Diceros bicornis minor: one gene and its partners. The protein of the gene in region 2 purifies or fractionates together with the protein of the main gene of each other region. This does not show direct contact. Links are inferred from orthologs where the notes say so. Each region holds a gene or a part of one and is shown on either strand. Other genes may lie near its edges.

The links. The genes of interacting proteins can lie anywhere in the genome.
Region 1: the proteins of CAPZA2 (region 2) and CRACD purify together in Homo sapiens (affinity purification with mass spectrometry; 3 studies listed by BioGRID and IntAct, counting the BioPlex papers as one, with this or other methods). This does not show direct contact. The link is inferred for Diceros bicornis minor from reciprocal best matches to the Homo sapiens genes CAPZA2 and CRACD.
Region 3: the proteins of CAPZA2 (region 2) and WASHC5 purify together in Homo sapiens (affinity purification with mass spectrometry; 3 studies listed by BioGRID and IntAct, counting the BioPlex papers as one, with this or other methods). This does not show direct contact. The link is inferred for Diceros bicornis minor from reciprocal best matches to the Homo sapiens genes CAPZA2 and WASHC5.

Annotation. Positions count from the first base shown.
Region 1 is NC_080747.1:43,716,209-43,723,624, forward strand, and holds the start of CRACD (capping protein-inhibiting regulator of actin dynamics), read left to right. Parts: upstream 1-4,113; 5' UTR 4,114-4,261; intron 4,262-7,416. UniProt on the Homo sapiens protein: Involved in epithelial cell integrity by acting on the maintenance of the actin cytoskeleton. Positively regulates the actin polymerization, by inhibiting the interaction of actin-capping proteins with actin.
Region 2 is NC_080742.1:67,795,758-67,804,238, forward strand, and holds the start of CAPZA2 (F-actin-capping protein subunit alpha-2), read left to right. Parts: upstream 1-5,270; 5' UTR 5,271-5,384; coding exon 5,385-5,423; intron 5,424-5,582; exon of another isoform or gene 5,583-5,846; intron 5,847-8,481. UniProt on the Homo sapiens protein: F-actin-capping proteins bind in a Ca(2+)-independent manner to the fast growing ends of actin filaments (barbed end) thereby blocking the exchange of subunits at these ends.
Region 3 is NC_080760.1:40,396,145-40,404,232, reverse strand, and holds the start of WASHC5 (WASH complex subunit 5), read left to right. Parts: upstream 1-4,785; 5' UTR 4,786-4,921; intron 4,922-6,772; 5' UTR 6,773-6,846; intron 6,847-8,088. UniProt on the Homo sapiens protein: Acts as a component of the WASH core complex that functions as a nucleation-promoting factor (NPF) at the surface of endosomes, where it recruits and activates the Arp2/3 complex to induce actin polymerization, playing a key role in the fission of tubules that serve as transport intermediates during endosome sorting.

The sequences.
Region 1 (7,416 bases), on a different chromosome or scaffold from region 2:
AGTGGTTAAATGTGCAAATTCTGGAGTTAGGTGACTAAATTTGAACTCTGGATTTACCAGTTACTAGCTCTCCATCCTTGACAAGTGACTTAATCTCTCTACGTCTCAGTTTCCTCATCTGTGAAATGGCAGAAGTAATAGAACTACCGTATAGGATTTGGGGGAGGGTCAGATGAAATAATGTATGTGCTTAGCACAGTGTCTAGCACAAACTAAGCATTCAGTGCCAGCTGATTATTTTAATTCTCATTATTATAATGTGAAGCAGTGACTTTTAAATTTTTTTTTTTGCACAGTAAGAGATGTTTTACATTGTCATCCAGTATACATTACAAATATGTTTAAGTTTTAAAGTAATTCATGAATCAATGTTTAGACTTCCCATGTGTAATGCATTCTTATATTTTTTATTCTATTTTATTTAGAAATGCTCGTTGAGATCCACTAAATGATTTCACATCCTATTAATGGGTCAGGACCTGCAGTTTGAAAAGCACTAATGTAAAGGATGATAGGATTAAGTGCATTAAAGAAAAATTTGTTATTGAATCTTTATATTATTCCTTCTAATGATTTACAACATCAGTTGGAGTTTGAATATTAAATTACATTGAAAATAGGTTCTTAAACATCTCTTAGTAATTACAGTCATTTAGTATTTATTATGGTCTAGGTACTGTGCTAAACAGTCTGTTTATATATGTTATCTAATTTAGTGCTCACAACAGCCTGTAATTTGGCCTTGTGTTTCCATTTGATAATTGAAGTTAAGACTCAAACAGGTTTTATTAACTTGCTCAATGTCATAAAGTTAGTGAGAGATGAAGCAAGAATTCAGACTGAGTTCTGTTTGACCCCAGATCTCTCTGCTCTCCCCCACACTCCGTTCTGATGTTCTCTCACAGTGATTTCTGAAGGTGTATCAGTTTTCTTTTACATAAATTTGAATGGCAATATTGAAAATTACCCATTGTAGTACATCTCCTGTAGTTTCCTTTCAGGACCCATTTAAAGAAAATTTTCAACTTAGTAAAGTAAGAAAGCATACTGAGTAGACTAGTAATTCATTTTGACTTTGGCTGATCTTTGATATAAATAGTTTGGAATAGCTTCTCAGGTTTTTATGATAGAGTCAATTAATTGGTTAGTTTTATTGAACATCCAAAGGTTTAATATAGCTTCAGAAGAGACATGAAATAGCTGTGTAACGATAAAAGGACTTCATTACAAATGAATGTCAGCTTTTGTTAAGGCACAAAATGAAGACTTAAGAGCTACAAAGAGTACTTAATAGTATATTGATTTGCCTCAGCATCACCAGGCAGTAAAAGTATTTATTTTGTAAACTACTTGTAAGAAACTACCACTAACTGTCCTGTTAATTTTTTTGTGTGTGTTTCAGTTTTTTGCAAATGTTTCTTAAATTTTTAGCAGTATTTTAACTTTAATTTTTTGGTACTTCTGGAACTTCCTTCCTTTTTTAAAAATATTATCAGAAAACCTTAAAGAGGGCTGGCCCCGTGGCTTAGTGGTTAAGTGCTCGCACTCCGATGCTGGCGGCCTGGGTTTGGATCCCAGGTGCGCACCGATGCACCGCTTCTCCGGCCATGCTGAGGCCGCGTCCCACATACAGCAACTAGAAGGATGTGCAACTATGACATACAACTATCTACTGGGGCTTTGGGGGAAAAATAAATAAATAAATTAAATTAAAAAAAAAAAGAAAGACAAAGAATATTTTAAGGAAATGCAGTTTATAAATGATACTTAGAATACACAAATAGATGATTTTAAATGACAATGGAAAGGCAAATTTCACTGTTTCTTTCACAATTATATCTTATAGATTCAGATCCTTTATTTGATCCTAGATTTGATTTGTGTATTGCTGTCGACATGTAGGAGTTACCTTATAAATAAGATGATTCCAGGTGCTTAAAGATATATAAATATGCTCCTGTGTTTGCATTATAGATAGCTTCTGTGTACATGGAGCTTTAAACTTTTAGCCGTAGGTTTAAACAGTTTATTTGTTGAATTAAGGTTAGTCTTTTCAAAAGTGATCATCTTAAAATCAGAGTTTATGTAGATCATGATATATTAGACAAAGAACAGCAGTTTCATGGTTTGTTTATGTAGTTTGTAAATCCATGTTTCTCTTCATCGGTCATTGTTTCCTATTAAGATTAGATGAACTTAAATATATTGTTTCATTTATTGTTTTTTTTTGTGTGTGTGTGAGGAAGACCGGCTCTGAGCTAATATCTATTGCCAATCCTCCTCCTTTTTTCTTTCCCCCAAAGCCCCAGTAGATAGTTGTATGTCATAGTTGCACATCCCTCTAGCTGCTGTATGTGGGACGCAGCCTCAGCATGGCCGGAGAAGCGGTACATTGGTGTGTGCCCGGGATCCGAACCCCGGGCCGCCAGTAGCGGAGCATGCGCACTTAACCGCTAAGCCACCGGGCTGGCCCTGTTTCATTTATTGTTGAATATCAGATTTCATCCTTAGGTTAGCCCTCAAAAAATTATTTTGCCCCTAATGAAATATGTACAAATGTAGTAAGCTTACTTTTTATGCTTATTTTATTAATTTATTTCTTTTGTCTAACACCTGACCCTTCATGAATTGGTATAGTTTTTGTAGCATCAATAAGCGTTCCAGCTATTAAATGGTCACTGTAATTTGTATGTTCAGGCAGATACTAACCTTGGTTACCATTACATTTTGTACTACTTTTATTGTTGATGTGAAAACTCTTAGAGATCAGAAGGGCAAAATCAATTGATATTTACTTGTGCTAGTGGCTTTGAGGCAGATACATATGCATATTTTAGGTTTACATATATGTATGATTTCTACAGATGTGTGAGAAGTGCAAGATTACAAACTCTTAATCCATAAATAAAAAAATTATCTTAAGTAACTGTGGAAATAAAAAAACTAAGTAAAAAACTTTGAGTTGTTGAGTGCCTTATAATTAGTCACGTTATCAGAAATATTTAAGAAGCCACATAGAACAACCGTATGTAATAGCTTTTATATTCCTGTAAGTTTGTATGTGGAAAGGTGATTCCATTTAAAATGTCAAAAATGAAAAGCAGAAATATTTTCAATCAACTTTTCAAATCTTAGGGGCTGGCCTGGTGGCACAGTGGTTAAGTTCGGCATGCTCTGCTTTGGCGGCCTGGGCTTACAGGTTCAGATCCCAGGTGTGGACCTGTACCACTTGTCAGGCCATGCTGTGGCAGCGACCCACATACAAAGTGGAGGAAAGACTGATGTTAGCTCAGTTAGCTCAGGGCCTATCTTCCTCACACACACACACACACAAATTTAAGTCTTCACCAGCTCTTCTGGATGTTTGTGGAATTTTTTCAGTTAATGTACTTTGAGACTTAAGTGGTATTTCAATAACCTTGCTTCTGAAATTGGTGCTATATTAAATATTAAGTGTTTGAAGAAAAGATACACAAAGTGCATCCCTGAAAGACTTTGGGAAATATTTAAATCAGAAGTAAGTACTCAGTTCAGTAGAGACAGGTGGTTAGAACAGAATTTAAGAGCAGGGGCCAGCCCAGTGGCGCAAGTGGTTAAGTGTGTGCACTCCGCTGCGGCGGCCCGGGGTTCGCCGGTTTGGATCCCGGGCACGCACTGACGCACTGCTTGTCAAGCCATGCTGTGGTGGCGTCCCATATAAAGTGGAGGAAGAGGGGCACGGATGTTGGCCCAGGGCCAGTCTTCTTCAGCAAAAAAAAAAGAGGATTGGCAGATGTTAGCACAGGGCTGATCTCCTCACACACACAAAAAAAGAATTTAAGAGCAAATAGTAGCTGCTAAGAGGAATTATTGCAGTAACAAGAAAGAAAGGACAACTTGCTGAAAAGGCGTTGGGCTTTTTATCAGGGAAGGTAGGAATAGCTCACCCAGGAGTCCACTGGCTTCAGCCCACTCACCTGGTGAGGGATTGGCTGGCACTAAGAGGGTGAAGGGGAGCAGGCAGGGAGGGGGAGCAACAGAGAAACTTGGTTATTATTTAAATCTAGGATAAGCTGGATTCAATAAATAATTTGTGAAAATTCTTGTATGTAATTTTTAACCCACAGTTTCCTCACTTGGGAGAAATAAAAAGTCCATGGTCCCAAGATCACTGTTTTTGGAAGAGGAAACATCAGAACCCCATTGTCAAAGCCATTTATCGTCTCAGGTGGGGCCACCGCTGATGTTCTTAGGGAGGTTTGTGACAGATTCAGCAGAGCTGGTAAGACACTGCTGATGAATTTCTTCATTTTGAAAAGTTCTCTTAATAAATTTAGAGTGATTTTTTTTCTCTATGAGAGTATCATTGTGACAGACCCAGTGGGCTTTCTTGGTACTGTTTATGATGCAGCTGCCTGGGCATGGTTGTGATGGGTTAACTGTTTTCTAGAGTTAATGAGGTCAGGGTCACAGGTTCAATTCCTGTGAAGGCCAGTTAGCTTTGCTTTGTTCTCTGATCTCATATTGTACTCTTAACCCAGACCAGCCATCTGGCGAAGGCAGATCATTGATCACAAAGGGACTAATAAGCAAGACAGTGTGTGAGGAGCAGCAGGAATCGTTCTCAGTGGATGTTGAGTAATTAGAGAAACAGTTCCAAAAGCATGTGCAAATTTGTGTTTCATAGCATTATCTTGATATGTGGAAGATAACATGATTGTCACATAATTTTCTTTGTCGTTTCTGTTGAACTCTCATTTTAACGGTTGTTTTTTCTAGCTATGAGTTTTCAGATGTCTCATTCATTCAGCAGTTACACATTGTCCTGAATGTTCTGAACTTCCCTCTAGGTGTGTAGGACAGCGACTGTGGTAGCGTGGTCAGGGTAAGTGTCTGAAAGTAGTAGATCACATCTCCTAACTCAGTTGTTTATAGACCCAACTCCACTGAATTACAAAATAAAAGTTAAAAAAAGCAAAACACCATTTTGAATGAGAATAAATAGACTGGCAAGATCTAGGGAAACACTGTATAGTTTTTCTAAGTACACTTTGATCTACAAATCTCTTATTCCCTTTATTAAAATTACTTATAATATCAGGAGAAATGTCAGAGATCATCTAGACGGTAGCCACTGGTCCCATGTGGCTATCGCCCAAATTGAGATGTGCTGTAAGTTTAAAATACACACTGGATTTCAAACACTTGGTATGAAAAAAGAATGTAAAATACACCAGTAATAATTTTTTAATATTGATTACATGTTGATACAATGTTTTAGCTATGTTAGATTGAGTAAAATGTTATTACAATTTTATGTTTCTTTTTACTTTTTTAAATGTGCCTACTAGAAAATTAAAAACTACATATGTGGCTTGCATTTATGGCTTGCAATATATTTCTATTGGGCAGCACTGTTCTAGAGCAAACCCTCATTTTACAGATGAGAAGACTAAGGTTCAGAGGTTAAGTAACTGAGCTGAGTTCTTTCCATTGCCTGTAATCTCTCCCTGCTAATAGGTTAGGTACTCAAGAAGATAGGAACTCTTTGAACCATTAGAGGACCATTTAGTGCACGGCAATTATCATTATGTTGCAAGATCTGTGCCGGAGTCATTGCATATTAGGTGTTATGTCAGTAGTGAGTGTGTGTGTGTGTGTGTGTGTGTGTGTATATACACACGTGCCCACATCTATAAGAGGGGGACTTTGTTTTGTTTGCTATGTTGATATTTAGGCTCAGTTTTACCTTCCTATATAGGTCAGAGGCCCTACAACTTTATTTAGTTCTGAGAAAAGCACATTAAAATATTAGACGTAAAATATTAGACGTTAACAGTTGTAACTATGAGATAAATAAGATATGATGCTCATTGAAGTGGGTACTTCAATATATATTTCTTATTACAGAGAAGGTTTCAGACAGTTTTGAATGAACCTTGATGGACAAAGCAGCAAGGTTTTCAGGCTGTATCCCTTTTGGAAGGAGGAGAACTGAAGTGAAGAGAGATTCTTAGCCTGTGTTGTGAAGAAAGAGCTTATTATGGGCTGTTACTTACTCTCTCTTAACCATGGATGCTCCTGACGTTCCAGTTGAGGAGGAAGTAGCCAGGATTGGCTGGCGCAAAAGCTGTGGCCCCAGAGTGTGGGCTTCCCGTCAGTTTTGTGAGCATAATGGTCTTTACTTGGCAAAGATATAAAAGAAGAAAACCTCAGGACGAAATTTGTCTTCTGTTATTTTTAGTTAAGATTTTTGTTTTCTTGATCAACATAGGCAGCTCAAATTAACATCTTAAAGATGTTTACTTTATGCAGCTTCGGATCTAGTCTTTCTTTTTGGCCCTCACGGAGTTCTAAGTCACTATCAGTTTGTTTTCAGTGACTCAGTGACAACTAGTGAACAATGACTTTGTCAGGCAACCTCTGACACTTCAATTAATCTCATCACCTGTACTAGCTAGTAATGTGCATGAATTTATCCTTTTAGTAGGGATAATGTGGAGGTTGAAAGAAGATATGTAATTACTTCCACAATGGTGGCTTATAAAAATATTTCCAGATTATCATTTTTCTATGCTTTTTGTCTGTTACAAACAACCAGTGTTGATCCTGGGTACAGAGAAACAAAGCAAGATAGCAATCTCTGAATGGTCACCTTCGAGTAGACCAAAATAAGTACCTCTGTCCTGTGGTGTGAAGTTTAATGGAAAGTGCCGTGACCATCCACATCCCATCCAGCCTGAGTCATCATAAACCCAGTTTATCTCATGTCAGCAGGCATGTATTGAGTACACACCGCGTGCTGGGCACTGTGGGCATAGCATGAAAATAATGAAGGCTGGGGGAGTACAGATCACTTGAATGGCAAAGTATTCATCACTTTTGTTGTAGTTTCTAGTTTGAGAAAAGAATGTGGCATTTTTACATTGTTGCAGAATGACTGCATTATGATTTATGTTCTACAGTTCACTAGCTGATTCCATGTACTGTCGTGTTTCATGTCGTGTCCCATTTCTAGCAGTAACTGATTTTTTCCTTGGGGTCATTGGGGCAGGCAGTTGGGATACGGGGAGGCTTGTGGTCACCTGGGGAATCACTGAACATGGGAGGGTGGCACATGTCTTCTGTATGCTCTCCTTTTGCCCTGCTCCAGCTCTTTATACCAGGCACTGTGAAGTTGCTGGTGAATATAAAAATGAAGAACTCACAGTCTAGTGAAGAAGAAAGACAAGGCAGAATGTCAAGTATGCTATGATAGGTCAGCGTGCTATGGGAACTCAGAGGAAGGAGTGATTATTCTGGAGAAGAATGACAGAATGAGGAAAGATAAGGAGGAAACTCACAGAGGACGTATTTGAGCCGAATCTTAAAGGATGGGTGGTTGGAGAGGGGATCCCAGAAGTAGGGAACAGAGTGAGCAAAGGTATGGCAAGCATG
Region 2 (8,481 bases):
GTTGGGTTAATTAGTCAGAGGTCAAAGTTATAGTATGGTTTCTTCTCTACAATATGGCTTCCTTTATGTCAACCTTGTGTTGAGCCAGTATCAAACCAACGTGCATGGGAATGATGAACAGATTCGGGTTGATGGTTACCCATGGGAAGAAGAAAAGGGAATGGGGTCTGGAAGGGGTAAACTATGCTTTTTTGTGTATCTGACATATTTTGTAATAATAATTCAAATAAGTAAATGGAAATAAGTAGAAGCTTTAGTATTTCCTTGCTTCACCATTAAGGATCACCTTGGGTGTTCGTCATGCCCTGTTCTTCATTTGGGACATTGTGTGAAAAAGCTGAAGTGACAGAGAAATTAAAGAGCACGAAATCAATTAGAGAGACAGATATTTAAGTGGTGATTGAATATAGAGTAGTAAACAGCAGGAGTATTTGTATGATTTGGGGGTTGCTGGGAAAAGTGTTTGCTCCCCGGTTCTGGAGTCCCAGAACCACATTTTAGGGCAATCTCTAAACCCCATATGGGTGGCTAGCTTAATTTTTCAGCTTCTGTTTAGGGATATGAAATGAAAGAGTCATTCAATCAATCTGGATTCCAGCAAAGCTTTTTAAAGCACTTATGTGCCAGTCTCTGTATTTGTCAGATAACTAACTGAAACTTAGGTCACATCCTCACAGAGCAGATTAGTATTATAATATGATGATTACAGCTAACATTTGTTGAGACCTTTGCCAAGGCCTGCAATGAGTTCTAAGCACTTTGTCTGCACCATGTCATTAAATCCTCACAACAGTCCTATGAGGGAGGTACCATTATTATCCCCAATGTATAGATGAAGAAACCGAAGTTTCCAGAGCAAGTTGCCCAAGTTACCTAGAGCTGGAACCAAGATCAAGACCCAGGACTTACTGATTATAAAATCTGTACACTTCACCACTAAGGTACGTGGCTAAAATACATGGAAAACTTTCTATGGGAATCTAGAAGAAGAAATTACTAGCTTTAACTAGAGGGTTCAATGCAGGTTGCGTGGAAAAAGGGATAACTGAACTGAATTTTAAAAAATAGGCAGCAAAGAACATTTCAGAAAGAGCTGCCACAGAGGCATGAGAGACGGTGATGCATAGGTAAGTTGCTTTGTGTGTTTCAGTGACATGTGCATTTGGGGCAGTGGCAGAGATGGGTTTTGATGAGGTTGGTAGCAACCAAATTATGAAGGACAGCATATTCAGGAGAGAGGAGTTACTGAAAAACAAGTTTCTTCAATAATTTCTTGGTAGTTGTAGAATGATCCATGTCAGGCTTCTCCAGGGGTGCCACTTTGTGGACCTTTTCAAATCCAGCTAAGGAAACAGACTACAGGTAGGACACACTCAACTACAAGTAACCAATAGTTTAGGCAATTATTTGATTTAGAAAAACAATTACTTTAAAAATATGCATGGTTTCTGACACTTTTTTACTGTCATAAAGAATATTATTTGAGACCTATTGTGTTCATTGATTATGAGACACTAACAAACAACAAAATATTAGTTGTCTAACACAGGTAGTTTTTCTTAGAAGTGAGGTAAGCCACACTTCAAACTACAGATATTAGTTTTCCAGTGCAGAGATTAAATGATATGGTGTTTTGGAAGTCTACATCTGGTGTAAACATTTAGTGGTCAGTCATATGTACTGAATATTTATCTTATTATACATTATATAATTAATATATATATGTATAAAATAATGGAAAGAACATGAATCTGACCATAGGGACACTTGGGTTCTAAAATAATATCAGCTAGATGTGCAATTTTTATCAAATCATTTAATTTATCTAAGGCTCAACTTACTTGTAAAATGAGGAGATTGTACTAGATGGACTCTAAGATTGTGATTCTATGAAATTAGGTACCTCTGACCTTGACAAGACTAAAATCTAGTTAAGGACATAGAGCACATCCATAGGAAAATAGATTAAGAAGTATACAAGTAACTTAAATACTACAAAAAGAAGAACTTTAAAAAAAAATCATTTTCTGGTGCAGTTAATTGGAAAAGCCAAGATTACATCACTAGTAAGCATAAGAAAGGTGAATTTGTGGGGCCGGCCTGGTGGCATAGTGGTTAAGTTCGAGCGTTCTTCTTCGGCGGCCCAGGTTTCACAAGTTCGGATCCCAGGTGCAGAACTACCCACCGCTTATCAAGCCATGCTGTGGCAGGCGTTCCACATATAAGTAACCAATAAAGTAGAGGAAGATGGGCACGGATGTTAGCCCAGAGCCAATCTTCCTCAGGAAAAAGAGGAGGATTGGCAACAGATGTTAGCTCAGTGTTAATCATCCTCACCACCCCACCCCCCAAAAATAGGTGAACTTGGGAATTAAATGAGAAAAGGGTAGAAATTCTCATTGAGGAGGTAGAGTTGTGTGTGAGAAGCATATTTTGTTTCTTTTCTCTTCATCATAAAACAACTGATTATCAAGAATACCAATACATTTCTAATTGCAGTCATATAATGGTCATTCCATATTTATACCCATTTCGCGTGACAGCTTGAAATCTTCCCAGAATTCCTAGGTTACGTGAATTCTATAATTTCTTTGAACTGTATCAAGAAAGTGGCATTGGGAGGTTTTTGAAATGATTATCAGAAATTATACAAAATTGCTAGTTGTGTCACCATGGGGAACCACATGTAAAGTATCACCAAGGTTACGATTATAAACATAGTCTGACTCAACTTACTGCAAACATACCATATTTGGGTGAGGTTTCTAGAAGAAGACAGCAGCCAATTAGTCAAGCAACAACATTTACTGAGTACCCACTGTGTACAAATTATTGATGTTCGTGTTGCTGAGTAAACAGAAATCAAAAAACAGAAGAAGAAAAAAAGGGAGTACTGTTGATGCAAGAGGTGGTGGTGAGTAGAACTGATGGGATGGAAGAGAAATCACCCTCATTAATTTTTTTTTTTTTTAATTTTTTTTCCCCCCCAAAGCCCCAGTAGATAGTTGTATGTCATAGCTGCACATCCTTCTAGTTGCTGTATGTGGGACGCAGCCTCAGCATGGCTGGAGAAGCGGTGTGTCAGTGCGCGCCCAGGATCCGAACCTGGGCCGCCAGCAGCGGAGCGCGTGCACTTAACCGCTAAGCCATGGGGCCGGCCCATCATTCAGTTTTATTTGGTGGGAGAGCGCCTAGAATTTAGATAGGGAGAAAGAAAGATCTCCAAGTAAAAAGGACAAGAGATATAGAATAAAATGCCTGGATTCCAATCTCTACTCAGTTAATTAGGAGCTGCGCAATCTTGGACAAATATTTAACCTCAGTTTGGCTCCTGTAAAATGGGTATAGTAATGCCGATAAATACCTTACTTCACGAGGTTGCAGTGAGAAATCAATGAAGTAATGACTTGTAAACTGTAAAAGAGTAAACAAGTTATTTATTTACATCCAGTGAGGTCCTTGGCCAAACTGTATGGTTTATTCTCTGTCACGTCTTCTCTGTACCATTTATCCTCAACAGGACACCTGCTTTTCCCTGCATGTGTCAGCAAGCTTCCCCTTTCTGTTGTCTCCCCAAATGGACTATGAGCTTTTCAATAGCATGGCTTCTGTTTGCATTCCATGCAGAAGAAACAATGATTTGCACACCATGAACACTCAGTAAATTACTTAATAACAGTGTTTTGCATATGAATAGTTATTTCAGCTCTCTAAGGTACTCTCACAAGTGTCATTTACATGCAGTTGTCAGATTCATCTTGCTAGACATATTTGTCACTGTTCAAAAGTTGTCAACAGCTTCTCATTTTCTACTGAATAAAGTCTTTTTTTAATATATATATATTTTTATTGAGATATAATTGACATATAATATTGTATTAGTTTTGGGTATACAACATAATGATTAAAGTCTTAACTTCTATCTAAACTCTAAGGCCTTGCTACTCAAAGTGTGGTCTCCAGACCAGTAGCATTGGCATCACCTGGGAGCTTGTAAATCTGATAAATGCAGATTCTCCAGCCCCATCCCAGACCTACTGAATCAGCAACTGCATTTTTTTGTGTGTGAGGAAGATCAGCCCTGAGCTAACATCCATGCCAATCCTCCTCTTTTTTTTGCTGAGGAAGACCGGCCCTGAGCTAACATCTATTGCCAATCCTCCTCCTTTTTTCTTTTTCCCCTTATTCTCCCCAAAGCCCTAGTAGATAGTTGTATGTCATAGTTGCACATCCTTCTAGTTGCTGTATGTGGGATGCCGCCTCAACGTGGCCAGAGAAGCAGTGCGTCGGTGCCCGCCCAGGATCCGAACCCAGGCCGCCAGTAGCAGAGCGCGAGCACTTAACCGTGAAGCCACGGCAGGCGCCAGCAACTGCATTTTAAAAATATTCCTAGCCAATTCATATATACAGTTTTGACTACATCTTCACTCTCTTGCTAAACTTGAAGCTTCAGAAGCTTTCAGATACAGCAAATAAAAGCAGTAGATATCCAATAAAAACTGAGAACAATGAATAATTTTTTAGTATCTCTCAAGTGCTTCATGGGACATACTTATACTTAAAATATATATTGTTTATTTGAAATTCAAATTTTACTGGACTTCCTGTATTTAATCTGTCAACCCTATTCAGAAGGGTAGGATCCATGTCTAACATAATTTTGTATTTCCCTGCAATCGTACTGTGCCTTCCCCAACTGCTCGATATATGTTTGTTTAAGGAATAGACAACCAGCTTAAGAACTGAGGTTTCTCCGGTTTTTGCTTAGCATTGTATATCTCCAGAGACACACAATAAATGACCAACAAATACTTCTCCAATGAATAAATGAATATACCCAGAACGATCTTCCAATTATGGACTGGGTTGGAGTGCATATTTTAATGAAAGCTGAATATTCTTCTAGTAATTTTTTTAAAACCAGAATGTTTAAAAAGCTTCTATTTGTACACTTTTTCACATTTTAGCTGGCAGAGTTCAGGACTTGATGGGAACATAATCAAGGGCTCAGAATGTACTCGTTGCCGACTGGGTCCATATGGTCACTGGTGGGGAAAGAATCCTATATTACTCAGGAGGATGACAGGCCTCCAGCAGGCTGCCGGAGGCGACTCCTCCGCCCTGCCCCCTCCCCACTCCCCCTCGCTCTGCCCCTTCTTCCTCCCCCGCCTCCGAGGCGCCCGCGCACGCGCACAGCCGCGCTCCAGCCCCGCGGGCCAGACGGAGGGAGGCGGGGCTCCCGGGGCGCGTGCGCGGCGGCCTGGGCTGTGGGCCCCTCCCTTGGCGGGGGCGCGCGGCGCGAAGGACTGCACGGAAAGGGGGAAGTCAGGTGGCCGGTGCCGCCGCCGCCGCCGCCGCCGCCGCGGTTTGTCGCCAGAAGGAAAATGGCGGATCTGGAGGAGCAGTTGTCTGATGAGGAGAAGGTAAGAGCCGCGGGGGCGGCGGAGCCCGTCGGTCCGGAAGCGAGCAGAGCCCTGGCGTATCAGCTCGGAATCTGGCCCCTGGGGAAGGGCATTGGTCTGTGCCCTCGCCCGCCTTTCCTCCTCCTCTCCTCGGTGCGCCCAAGTGCCTGCCCCCGTCAGTCACCCCAGGCCCCGCGCGGGGGCAGGTCTCTGCCCGGCCTGCTCGCTTCGCTCCTTGTAGGGTGTGTGCTCCGAAAATAGGAAGCGAGAGCGGGGCGGCGGCGCCTGGCGCGGCGGGCGGGGGCGGGGGGCGCCGAGGGCGGCGGCTGCGGGGACCCTCTGCCTCCGCCTGGGCCCCGGGGCGTTGCGCCCGCGTCTGGGGACTGCGGACGGGTTTGGGTCCCGGCCTGGGAGCGGCCCAAGGGCAGTGCCCAGCCCGACGGCCTGGCGGGCGAGTGTAGCCGGGGTGAGGGGTAGGGGGAAAAAATCGCTTAGGAAGCAGACCTTCACTTATCCCTTCTACTCCCTCCTCCCAGAAGCAAAATCCTTCCTTTCTTGGTTCTCTACGCTTTTTTTCCTTTCCCCGTGGAAGTCTCTCTCTCTCTCTCTTTTTTCCCTCTTTTCTTTTTTTCGGCTTTAGCTGTAGGCTTTGCAGTTCCCATGTTCCCCTGGAGGCAGTGGAGTTGCTCACAAAAGACCCCCCCCCCCCATAGTAGTTGTTTCCTGCTCAGGTTGGCATTTGGTGGCGTCCCATCGTCCTGCTGGGACTTCTTCCGAAGACGGGAGATTGTGCAACTCCTTTTTACTGTATCTTAGATGCTGTGACAGCATTAGAACCAGATGAACGACTTAAGTTCTTAAGTTTTCAGGCATTTAAAGCAAGAAATCTGATGATCGAACTAGTTCTCTTTAATTCGTCGTTTCCTTTGGCTACTGTGAGGCCCTATTCCATAGTGAGGGGGTGTAGACCCTACTAATTTTGAGTAGTTCCTGGAAGGGACCTTGACATTTCTCAGACTCAGAAGTAACTTATTCATAACTATCTATGAATAAGATAGTTTTGGAAGTGTCCGTTCTTAATTTAACAGTGTTCGTTTTTCGAAGTTCCAAAGCAGTACTGCCATGTATGGAGCACAAACACATCATAGTGTTTAAGAAATCCTAATGTAAGCCTAAGAATATTTTCAGTTGAAACTCTCTGCCCTAAGTGTTTTTATATCCTGTGTTCTTGCACTGGAGTGTAATGTTCAATCTCCTTCCCAATGTGATTGTGCAGCAATGAGCCTCGTCTCAGTTTTGGAAATCTTTTTTTTTTTCTTCTTCTTTTGCCCTTGCTTCTGGTGAAATTGATAATAAAACGACAAAATGGGGAGAGCAGCAAGATTCTCCATAATCCACAGCCCTGGTAGGCAGATCCCTGTATACACGAAAGTTACCTTGTAGCCTTGACATTGGTGAATAACCCTAGGTTGGTAACTGAAGATGTACGCAGGCTCGCACACGCGTATTTAAAATTAACTACTGCTAAAAAGTTTTTTAAAGAGATTGTCCTGTTATATTCTGCTGTTTTTAAGTGGTGGTTAGTAGCTCAAGTGGCTAGAAATCTAGCTGAGAAGAGAGTACTCAGTGTGGGAGTTAATATAGAGCTGCCATGTGTTGTAAAGGCCTAAAATAGCAAAGTTTTTTCAAAATGATATGGCAAGATTCCTTATCCAGCACTCTCAGGGCACTAAGCTCCATGAAGGTGGTAGTGCTGGGGGTGTCTTATTCTCTAAGCTTACCCAACACAGTGTTTTAAGAGTGAATAAATGAAAATTCTAATTTGAAAGAATTTGGTGTTTTTGTTTTTATTTATTTCAAGTTTTGTAAGACTATTCTGTAGATATTTTAAAGATAGATTTCATTGCTATATTTAGTAATTTAAGAAAAATACTGACCAAACTTTTGGGTTACATTCAAGTAACTGGTTAGGTGAAATTCTAATACTCTCATCACTTTAGTTATCTAAATGTACTTTTAATCTTTTGGGAGGAGGATGTTGGGTATGAAATCAGAAATAGGATTTAAAAGTGATATTTTTAAACTAATATTTGAATCATGTTACTCTTTCTGCCACCTTGTTTGTAATTTTCAAAAGTAAGCTTTTAATACTTCTACGCTCTTGGAATTTCCATTATTGGTTGCAGATCTAAGGAAGGGAAGCTGTTAAGACTTATGTAGTACCATACTTTGTATATGCCTGGCTCAGTTAGGCAATACATTTGTTAATTTATTGTGCGTTTGAGGTAGGTTTTATTATTACCATTTACAGGTAAGTAAAATAAGGTTTCAAAAGCTTAAAGTAATTCACCTGAGGACACCTAAGTAGGAAGTGGCAGAAGTGATATTTATTTATTTATTTTTTTGTGAGGAAGATCAACCCTGAGCTAACATCCATGCTAATCCTCCTCTTTTTGCTGAGGAAGACCGGCTCTGAGCTAACATCTATTGCCAATCCTCCTCCTTTTTTTTTCCCCCCTCCAAAGCCCCAGTAGATAGTTGTATGTCACAGTTGCACATCCTTCTGCTTGCTGTATGTGGGACGTGGCCTTAGCATGGCGGGAGAAGCGGTGTGTCGGTGTGGGCCCGGGATCCGAACCCCGGGCCGCCAGTAGCGGAGCGCTGAGCACCCAACCACTAAGCCACGGGGCCGGCCCCCAGAGGTGGTATTTAAACCTGAGTTTGAATCCAAAGTTGATGCTGTTGTGACATTACGCTCCCATAAACAGTTGATAATAGGACCCTCTTCTGGGTTTCTCTTTGTTTTTAATTTATTGACAGCTTATTTGAAAAAGGAAAAACAATATTTCTTTTTGTTTTTAAAAAAAATTTAAATACCAAACATCAAATCGTGTCGGGTTCTAAATTTAATTTGTGTTTTGATCATTTTAGAACAAAGGTTACTATTGTTTAACACATTTAAAAGTTTTATGCTACTGGTACAATGTCATATATGCCCTATGGTAAAGCATTTTAGAAATTAATCTAAAATAATATCTTTGCTTTTTAAAATCATGTACAATTGCTTTTTGAGGATACC
Region 3 (8,088 bases), on a different chromosome or scaffold from region 2:
CGCCAAGCCACCAGGCTGGCCCCACGACACAGTTCTTAAAAACCTAAAACATAAATGAGTTAAAAAAGGTAGACTGCTCATATGATGCATTTTTCTAAAAAATGAAAGTAGTGACAATAACGTAGTTAAATAAGGGAGGATTCTGAAAACCTGTAATTTTTAATTTATCTAACATATATACATATTGAATTCTGAAAACTAAAAAATATTTATTCCTGACAATTCCTCTGGGTTCTAATAGATTACAGACTTGGTGAGATCCCCGATTCTGTTTCAGTAAAAGCAGAATTTCTCTATAAACTCTTATCTTCTGATATCTGATCCACTATAACAGTTTCAGTTCTTATCTTCATATTAAACACTCCCTAATCTATACCTTCAACCACCAATTCTTTAACCTTTGGACTACTTATGGAAAGCTGTCTACAGATGTCTTTGCCTAATTCAGAAACCACCTGAAATTCAATCCACTGAAACCAACTAGAAAAGTGGAGAGAATTTATACAGGCTTAGAGGGATGGGAAAGCTGTATGGTAGCAGAAAGAAGGTATTTTCTTAGAATCATATAGACAGAGCACGAATTCAGGCTCTGTCACTTTACTACTGAGTGACCATGGGCTGATTGCATAAACCTCTCTGAACCTCAGGTTTACTGTCTCTAAAATGAGAAGGAATATCACAATGTGGTCCAGCACACAGTACACAATTAATTAGCATGGACTTGCCCTCCTGCCCTTCCTTTCTAACATGGGAAACTGTCTAGTATCTCTGGCATTTCCATCCTCTCCATTGCCACCACTTTTATCTCACACCTGGAGTACTACAGTAGTTTCTTAACTATTGGCCCTTTTCAATTAGATTCATTCATTCATTCATTCAACAAATAGGTATTGAGTGCCTTACCATGTCAATCATTAGACTCTAAAAAAGACACAGGGTATACAAAGGGAAGGGCATAGAAAAGATGCCCATGATGCTGATCTCTATTTTTGAGGTTTTAGTCTATTACAAACATCCACAATACAACTCTTCTTCAATTCAAATCATTCAGTTAACAAATATTCAGTAAGTAATGTTTTGGAGCATAACGTAGAGGGTCTTAAGTGCAGGATAAAGAATCGGTCCAGTTGGGTCCAGGGGGGCAGTCAATGGGACTTTTAGCTTTATCTGTTTTTTAAAAATTTATCTTAAAAATCAAGAACTGAAACAAACATGGCAAAATGTTATAGATATTAAAATCCGGATGATAGAACAGGGTTCTCATTATGTTATTTTCTGGGACCTTCTGTGATGTTAAAATTCCACACCAAAAGAGAGAGAAAAAATATGACTATGAATACAAATGAGAAACCATTGATGATTTTTGAACATCTGCATTTTGGTGAAAGAGTATTTATTTACAGTCTCACATTATTACACCAAACAAGCTGAGACAGTTAACACAATATAAATACAAATATATGCAGTAAGATGGGAAATATATAATATAAATGCATGAAAATCAGGATGGAAAACAAACTAAAGGGGAAAACAGGTAAAGAAGAAAATTTTTACTACATGTGTAATACAAATTTGGCTATGAGCTTCCTGACAATCAAAGCAAAAAGTGAAAGCTACAGAATCCTCTTTCCCCATAAAGAAAAAGTACATCAGGAACTTGGGAAAAATAAGGCTTTCCATGGCAATCAAGGCAGTGTGGACCATCATATATAAGACAATAAAACTCATACTGAAAAATATTCTCAATAATATCCTTACAATAAATGCAACAGTGAGCTTCCTAGGACTGTTTCTTAGGTTATTCCTCAGGGTAAGCTAAAGACAGGACACTTGGGGTAGATACCAGCTCGGTGCCCACCAAACCCATTTCCTCTTCAATCTGGTTATACAGCTAGACCACAGTTTGCAGCCTTCCTTGCAGTTAGCTATGGCCATATGACTGAATTCAAGGCAATGAAATATGAGCCATTTCCAGGCCCAGTCTATATAAACTTTCTCCACACTCTTTCCCATTTGATAGCTTGAACAGGCAAGCACAGTGACCTTAGATGCTCTATACTGAAGATGGAGAATCCCTAGTTCCTATATCACTGCTTGGCGGAAAACTGCCCGCCAATCAGGCTCCACGCATGAAAGAAATAAAAACTTCAATTGTGCAAAGCCGTTTAGGTTTTGGGGCTTACCTGTTACAGCACCAACTGTTACTCAAAAAAACACAATCCTGCAAGAATCAAATCATATGGTTCAAGTATTCAGTTTTCTAGTCAGTCTTGATTCCAGTTTAAGTCTAAATTGTCTAGGGCACTAGACACGTGGTTATCATGACTGAGGAACTGAGTTTTAAATTTTATTTAATTTTAACCAATTTAAATCTGAATAGCCACATGTGCCTAGTGGCTACTGCACTAGTCAGCACGGTTCTAGAGACACAATTATCCAAGTATACCATATATATGAACCATGGGGTAAGCAAGAAGGGGCAAAGCCACAGAATAAACAGGATATGTTTCCTGGAATATCAATTTTACCTAAAGATAACATGAACCATCATTAGCTACATTACAGAGCAGAATATGAAGGCAATACAGAGTAGGGGTTAAACACCCAGCCTCTGAAGCCAGAGTACCCGAGTTCAAAGCCTGATTTTGCCACTTAAGTAGCTGAAAGACTTTAGGCAAATTATCTAACCTCTCAACGCTTCACTTCTCCCTTCTGTAAAAGGAGGATGATCCAGTGGCTACCACAAGGATTACTGTGAGGATTGAATGAGTTAATATAGATAACAACACACTAAGAACAACGCCCAGCACATAAATCTCATCTTGTGTCTCTGATTGTGTCTCTCCCCAAGCTGACTAAGACACAACGTACACAAGGATTAATACAATCTGGGATAAATGGAAAGTGTCTACCACATGGTAGCTATCCTTATTATCTGAATTCATAATTCACATTACTCCAATGAAACTTTATACTTGCAGAGAGCTAGGGAACACACGGTCACTGCCTTCTGTGAGTATATCAACGGAAACGATTCAGATAAGAAGCAAAGAGAATGGATGGGGCACAAAGATGGAGTAGACACACTTTTCCCTATTTCTCCCACAAAGTACAGCTAAGTACATAAGTCACAGGACAGCCCTCACAACAAAGAATTATGTGGTCCGAAATATCAATAGTGCAGTAGTTGAGAAACTCTGGTTTAAATCAGCCTCCTCTTGGAGCCTTCCCAGGTGGCAATCAATGATCTTTTTGTTCCCTGTACCTATGGTCTCCAACAAAGTTTAAAACAAGGTTATGCATTTCCCCAGTTTTTCCCTAGCATGTTATTTTGCCTCCCGTAAACAGGCCTTGCCTTATGCCATCCAGGCTGCAGTAATAAAATACCACAGTCTGGGTGGCTTTTAAACAACAGAAATCTGTTTCTCACAGATCTAAAGGCTATAAGTCCAAGATCAAGGCATGGGTTCACAGCCCATGCCTTCTGCTCTTTGCCTTCACTTGGTAGAAGGATCAAGGGAGCTCTCTGCAGCCTCTTTCATAAAAGCACTAATCCCATTCCCAAGAGCTCAACCCTCATGACCTAAGCACCTCCCAAAGGCCCCGCCTCCTAATACCATCACACTGGCATTAGGATTCAACATCTGAATTGGAGGCGCACACACATTCAGACCATAGCAGGTCTATAAGATTCTCTGCAGGCAGGACCCATTATTGGCTAATACCATTTCTTCTCTACTGTTCCCTCCTCTTCTCTGTCTGTACAGCACAGTGGTAGGCACAGAGCAACCAATTTATAGGCACTATGCCCACCTCCTTGGTGGGCATGGGAGTCCGTACAAGTTCAGCCAGAGCTGTAGCTCCTTTTTCAAGATGCAGGAACACATGTTTCTTGATGAAGCCTTCCCTTATCTATATAAGCAATTGCTTGTTCCCTCCCTTATGCTGCCACTATTCCTCTCTCCCTCTCTCTCTCCTTCTCTCTCACGCACACACTTCTATTAAAAAACTCAATAAAACTCATCACAACTCTTTGCTCACATGTCTGCCACTCCTTCACCCTGGGAGCAACTTAAACTAGAACTCGGACATATTCTACAGCATTTGAAACAGCTCCTGACACAAAATAGACGATCAGTCAAGATCTGGCCAGAGTCACAACAATAACAGCAACCACCATTTCCAGATCTCCCACGGTGTGCCATAAACCGGTGCCCCCGGGCTTCATTCTCATTGTCGCTAATCCTCACAGCCATTTACATACGAGAAAAGGAAACGGAGGCCCAGAGAGTTTATTTAAACGACACGCCCAAGGCCCTGCTTTTAAAGACAGTCCAAACCAGATTTATTTGGATCAAGAATTCGTCATCTTTTCCCCACACGTTTAGGGCTGAAGGATGGGCAGATGGCGTCTCGGAGAGGGAGGTGAACTGTCCCAGCCTCACTGCTCTGGCGTGAAAAGAACCAGGACCATAACCCAGGTCGACAGACCCCAGGTCAAGGCACCCGCGGAGCGCCCGAGAGGGAGGCGACACCTCCCGCCGCCCTCCCCATCGCCAGCCCCCGCCTCTGCCTTACCTGGCTGCCCGACCTAGCTCCGTCTGGCTGCACCCCGACTCCCCACACCCGGACCCCCACTCCTTCCTTAACTCCCTGCCCCGTCGCTGAAACTGCGAGCGCGGGCTCCGACGTCATCAGCCGTTGCCCGCGAGTGGTCACATGACACCCCGCTCTGCTCTCCTCCCCTGTGGTCATGTGATGGCCCCGGGAGCCAGGGGCGGAAGCCGGGTTCTGGCCGGCTTGCGATCCGGGGCTGGAGGTAGAAGACCCCAGCGGAGAGGGAAGGGTCGGGGACTCCGGCGCTGACTCCGCGCACGATCGCCGGCCCCGCGCGTGCGCCCTGGCGCGGCCCGGGTGACAGGTGAGTCCGGGCGGGGCGCGCGTGCCCCCTCCTTTCACGGCCCCCCTCCCCTCCCCCGTCCCGGGGCTGGGCCGCGCTGGTCCCGCGGGCATCTGCGCGTGGAGTGGGGTCTGGATGGGGGAGCCTGGCGTGGAGGACTGAGGGGCTTCCTGGGGCTGGGGCTGCAGCCCAGCCTCTTCATCTCCACTTAGATGGAAATAATTTTCCACGCCGCTGTGGCGCTTTAGGAAGTGATGTTCAGCTGCTTGACCCGCATCTGAGCCTTCCAAGTTTTCGGAAGCAATGCTGTGTGGACGTCGTTATTCCTCTCTTTACTCGCGAGAAATCGGAGTGGTTAGTGAGCGCTTTTACAGTGTGAGGGACCTGGGTTTGAATTCTAGTTCTGCCATGGGCTGTGAGTTTAGGCAAGTCATTGCTCCTCTCTGCACCTTAATTCCCCCACCTGTGACATGCTGGTGCCAAAGTCCTTTGCATTTCGAAAAAACGTTCCGAGGGTCCAGATTTCACTATGGTCTCACAGTAAAAAGAAAAAAAACACACCTCACAGAGGCCATAATGGAATAGGGTCTCCTGATTCCAAGTGCAGGGAGCTCCCTCCAATGTAGGTAACGGGGGTGAGGGGGTGGGAGAGAGCGGTTTTACTGCCTCTGCCCCCAACAAGGACACTTTCCGGTTTTTCTTCTGTTTTTCCTCATGAATCAGCTGATAGTGATCAGACTCATTTCAGAACTTTTCTGGAAAAGATATGTTGGTCACTTTTATCTTGATCAACAATCATCATATTTTGTTCCTGATAATGGATTTGTGGAGGCCAGTGCTTCCTTCTTTATGGAACTGAGGTTTTATGAAAGGATAAAAATAGACCTATCTTCTTTTGACCTCTGAGTAGGGTAAACAGTGCTTTGTCCTAGGACAACTTATTTCCTTCAGAATTTGGTTCTGTACTCATTGGGTAATTGGTGTGATGATCCCGTGCTGCATTCTTTTTTTTCTTTTTTTTCTTTTTTGTGAGGAAGATCAGCCCTGAGCTAACATCCATGCTAATCCTCCACTTTTTGCTGAGGAAGACTGGCTCTGAGCTAACATTTATTGCCAATCCTCCTCCTTTTTATCCCCAAAGCCCCAGTAGATAGTTGTATGTCATAGTTGCACATCCTTCTAGTTGCTGTATGTGGGATGCGGCCTCAGCATGGCCAGGGAAGCCGTGCGTCCGTGCGCGCCTGGGATCCCAACCCCCGGCCACCAGTAGCGGAGCACGCGCACTTAACCACTAAGCCACTGCCGGGTGCTTCATTCTTGAAAGCATATTGTCCTTTGTCCAGGATTACTTTCCAAACTGAAAACTACAATTCCTTACCAAATTCTTGAAAATAAAGTTATGACCACCTTTCTGGGTACCTTGTAAAAGAAAATTAGGAAATTGAGTTTGGTCTCTGGCTTCATTTTATGCCAAATAGTGATACAGTCTATACTGAGAAAATTGGTCTTTATGAATTTTCTTCGTCCCTAGCACCAAGAGAACCTCTAAGAGGAAGATTTAATATAGCTTCTTCTACAGTGTTTATTTGCACCTCATTTTAGAGTGATTTTTTTAAAGCTCAGCTAAGTCTTAACACCTTCTATGAAGCCACCTACCTCTGAGAGGGCTGCAACATGATTAGGCATCTCTAATGATGGTTCTTAGATTTTGTTCTTTAGGGCCAGTTTTTCAGCCAACAGTGGGGCTGTTTACCAAATACTCTAGTCAGATAATATTTTGGAAGTTGCCTACAATGTAACTCTGGAGTAAGGATTTAAGGATTAAACTAAGAGATGGATACACCAAAGTCTTGACTAATGTCATTATCTCAGGTCTAAGCTTCCCTGACCGTGTGTATGCAGATGCTGAGTACATCTGTCCATCTGTTTGTTGGGAAAGAAAGCAGGTAATGTTGCTTTGCTTTGAGCTGTTTTCTCCATGGCCTCATTGTCTGTCCTATACTGGTGTCCAAAATCTGGTAGCAGTTAGACCTGTTAATCATACCTTACCCTCCTCTCAATTGAGTCTAGGGTTTCATCCCGCTGAGACCTGGGTTGGTTTAGTATTCTTCAGAGGACCTCAGTAGGTGACTCTTTTGCCCATTGTTTATTATTTTTCCCCTTTTCCTCTCTCATTTTCCAAGCCAGACCATATTAGTGCAAAAAAAATGGTATGAAATTATCTGAAATTTAGCCTGTTAGAGATCAATGTGGCTTAACAAGCAAGCATCACAGAGAAAACTAAAAAGAATTGTTAATATTTTATGCCTTAATGTGTCTTATAGGATACCCTCATGAGAGAGAGTTCTAGACAACTGTAGTGGCTTCTCAGTCACAATCAGACCCAACCCCATCCACCTTCCCTGATCTCTGCTTCTATCCCTTGCTCACTCTACAGCAGCCATATCAGCCTCTTTGCTATTCCTTAAGTGCATCTGGCACATGTCGGCCTTTGCACTTACTTGTAACCTCTGCCTGGAATGCCTTTCTCCAAGATCATTATCTATTGTAAAATAACAAACTACCCCAAAACCTAGTGGCTTAATAAACATCTATTATCTTATAGTTTCTGTGGTTAGAAATCAGGGGTATAGCTTAGCTAGGTGCCTTTGGCTCAGGGTCTCTTGAGAGGTTGCAGTCAAGCTGTGAACAGGAGCTGTTCTCTTATCTGAAATCTCAACTGAGGTTTTGGGGATCCATTTTCAAGCTTACTCCAGTGGTTGTTGGCAAGCTTCTCCATCCCTTATCACATGGGCTCCTCCATGGCTCTCTCACAATGTGACAACTTGCTTCCCCCACGACAAACAAGCTAGAGAGGGTGGCCAAGCCAGAAGTCAGTCTTTTTGCAATCTAATCTCAGAGGTGATATCTTTCACATTTGCCGTATTCTGTTCTTTAGAAGGGAGTCAGTAAGTCACACTTAGGGAAGGGGCCTACACAGGGCGTGAATAAGGAGGTGGCAGTCATTGGGGACCGTCTTAGAGGCTACTGACCACACTCAGATACCCTTACTGCTTTCTCCCTCACTTCCTTCTGGTCCCTGCTCAAATATCTTAACAGCAAGGCTTGCACAAACTACTCTATGTAAAATAGCACACACTCCATCCCTTTTTCCTGCTTTTTCTTCACAGCAATTATCACAGCCTGAT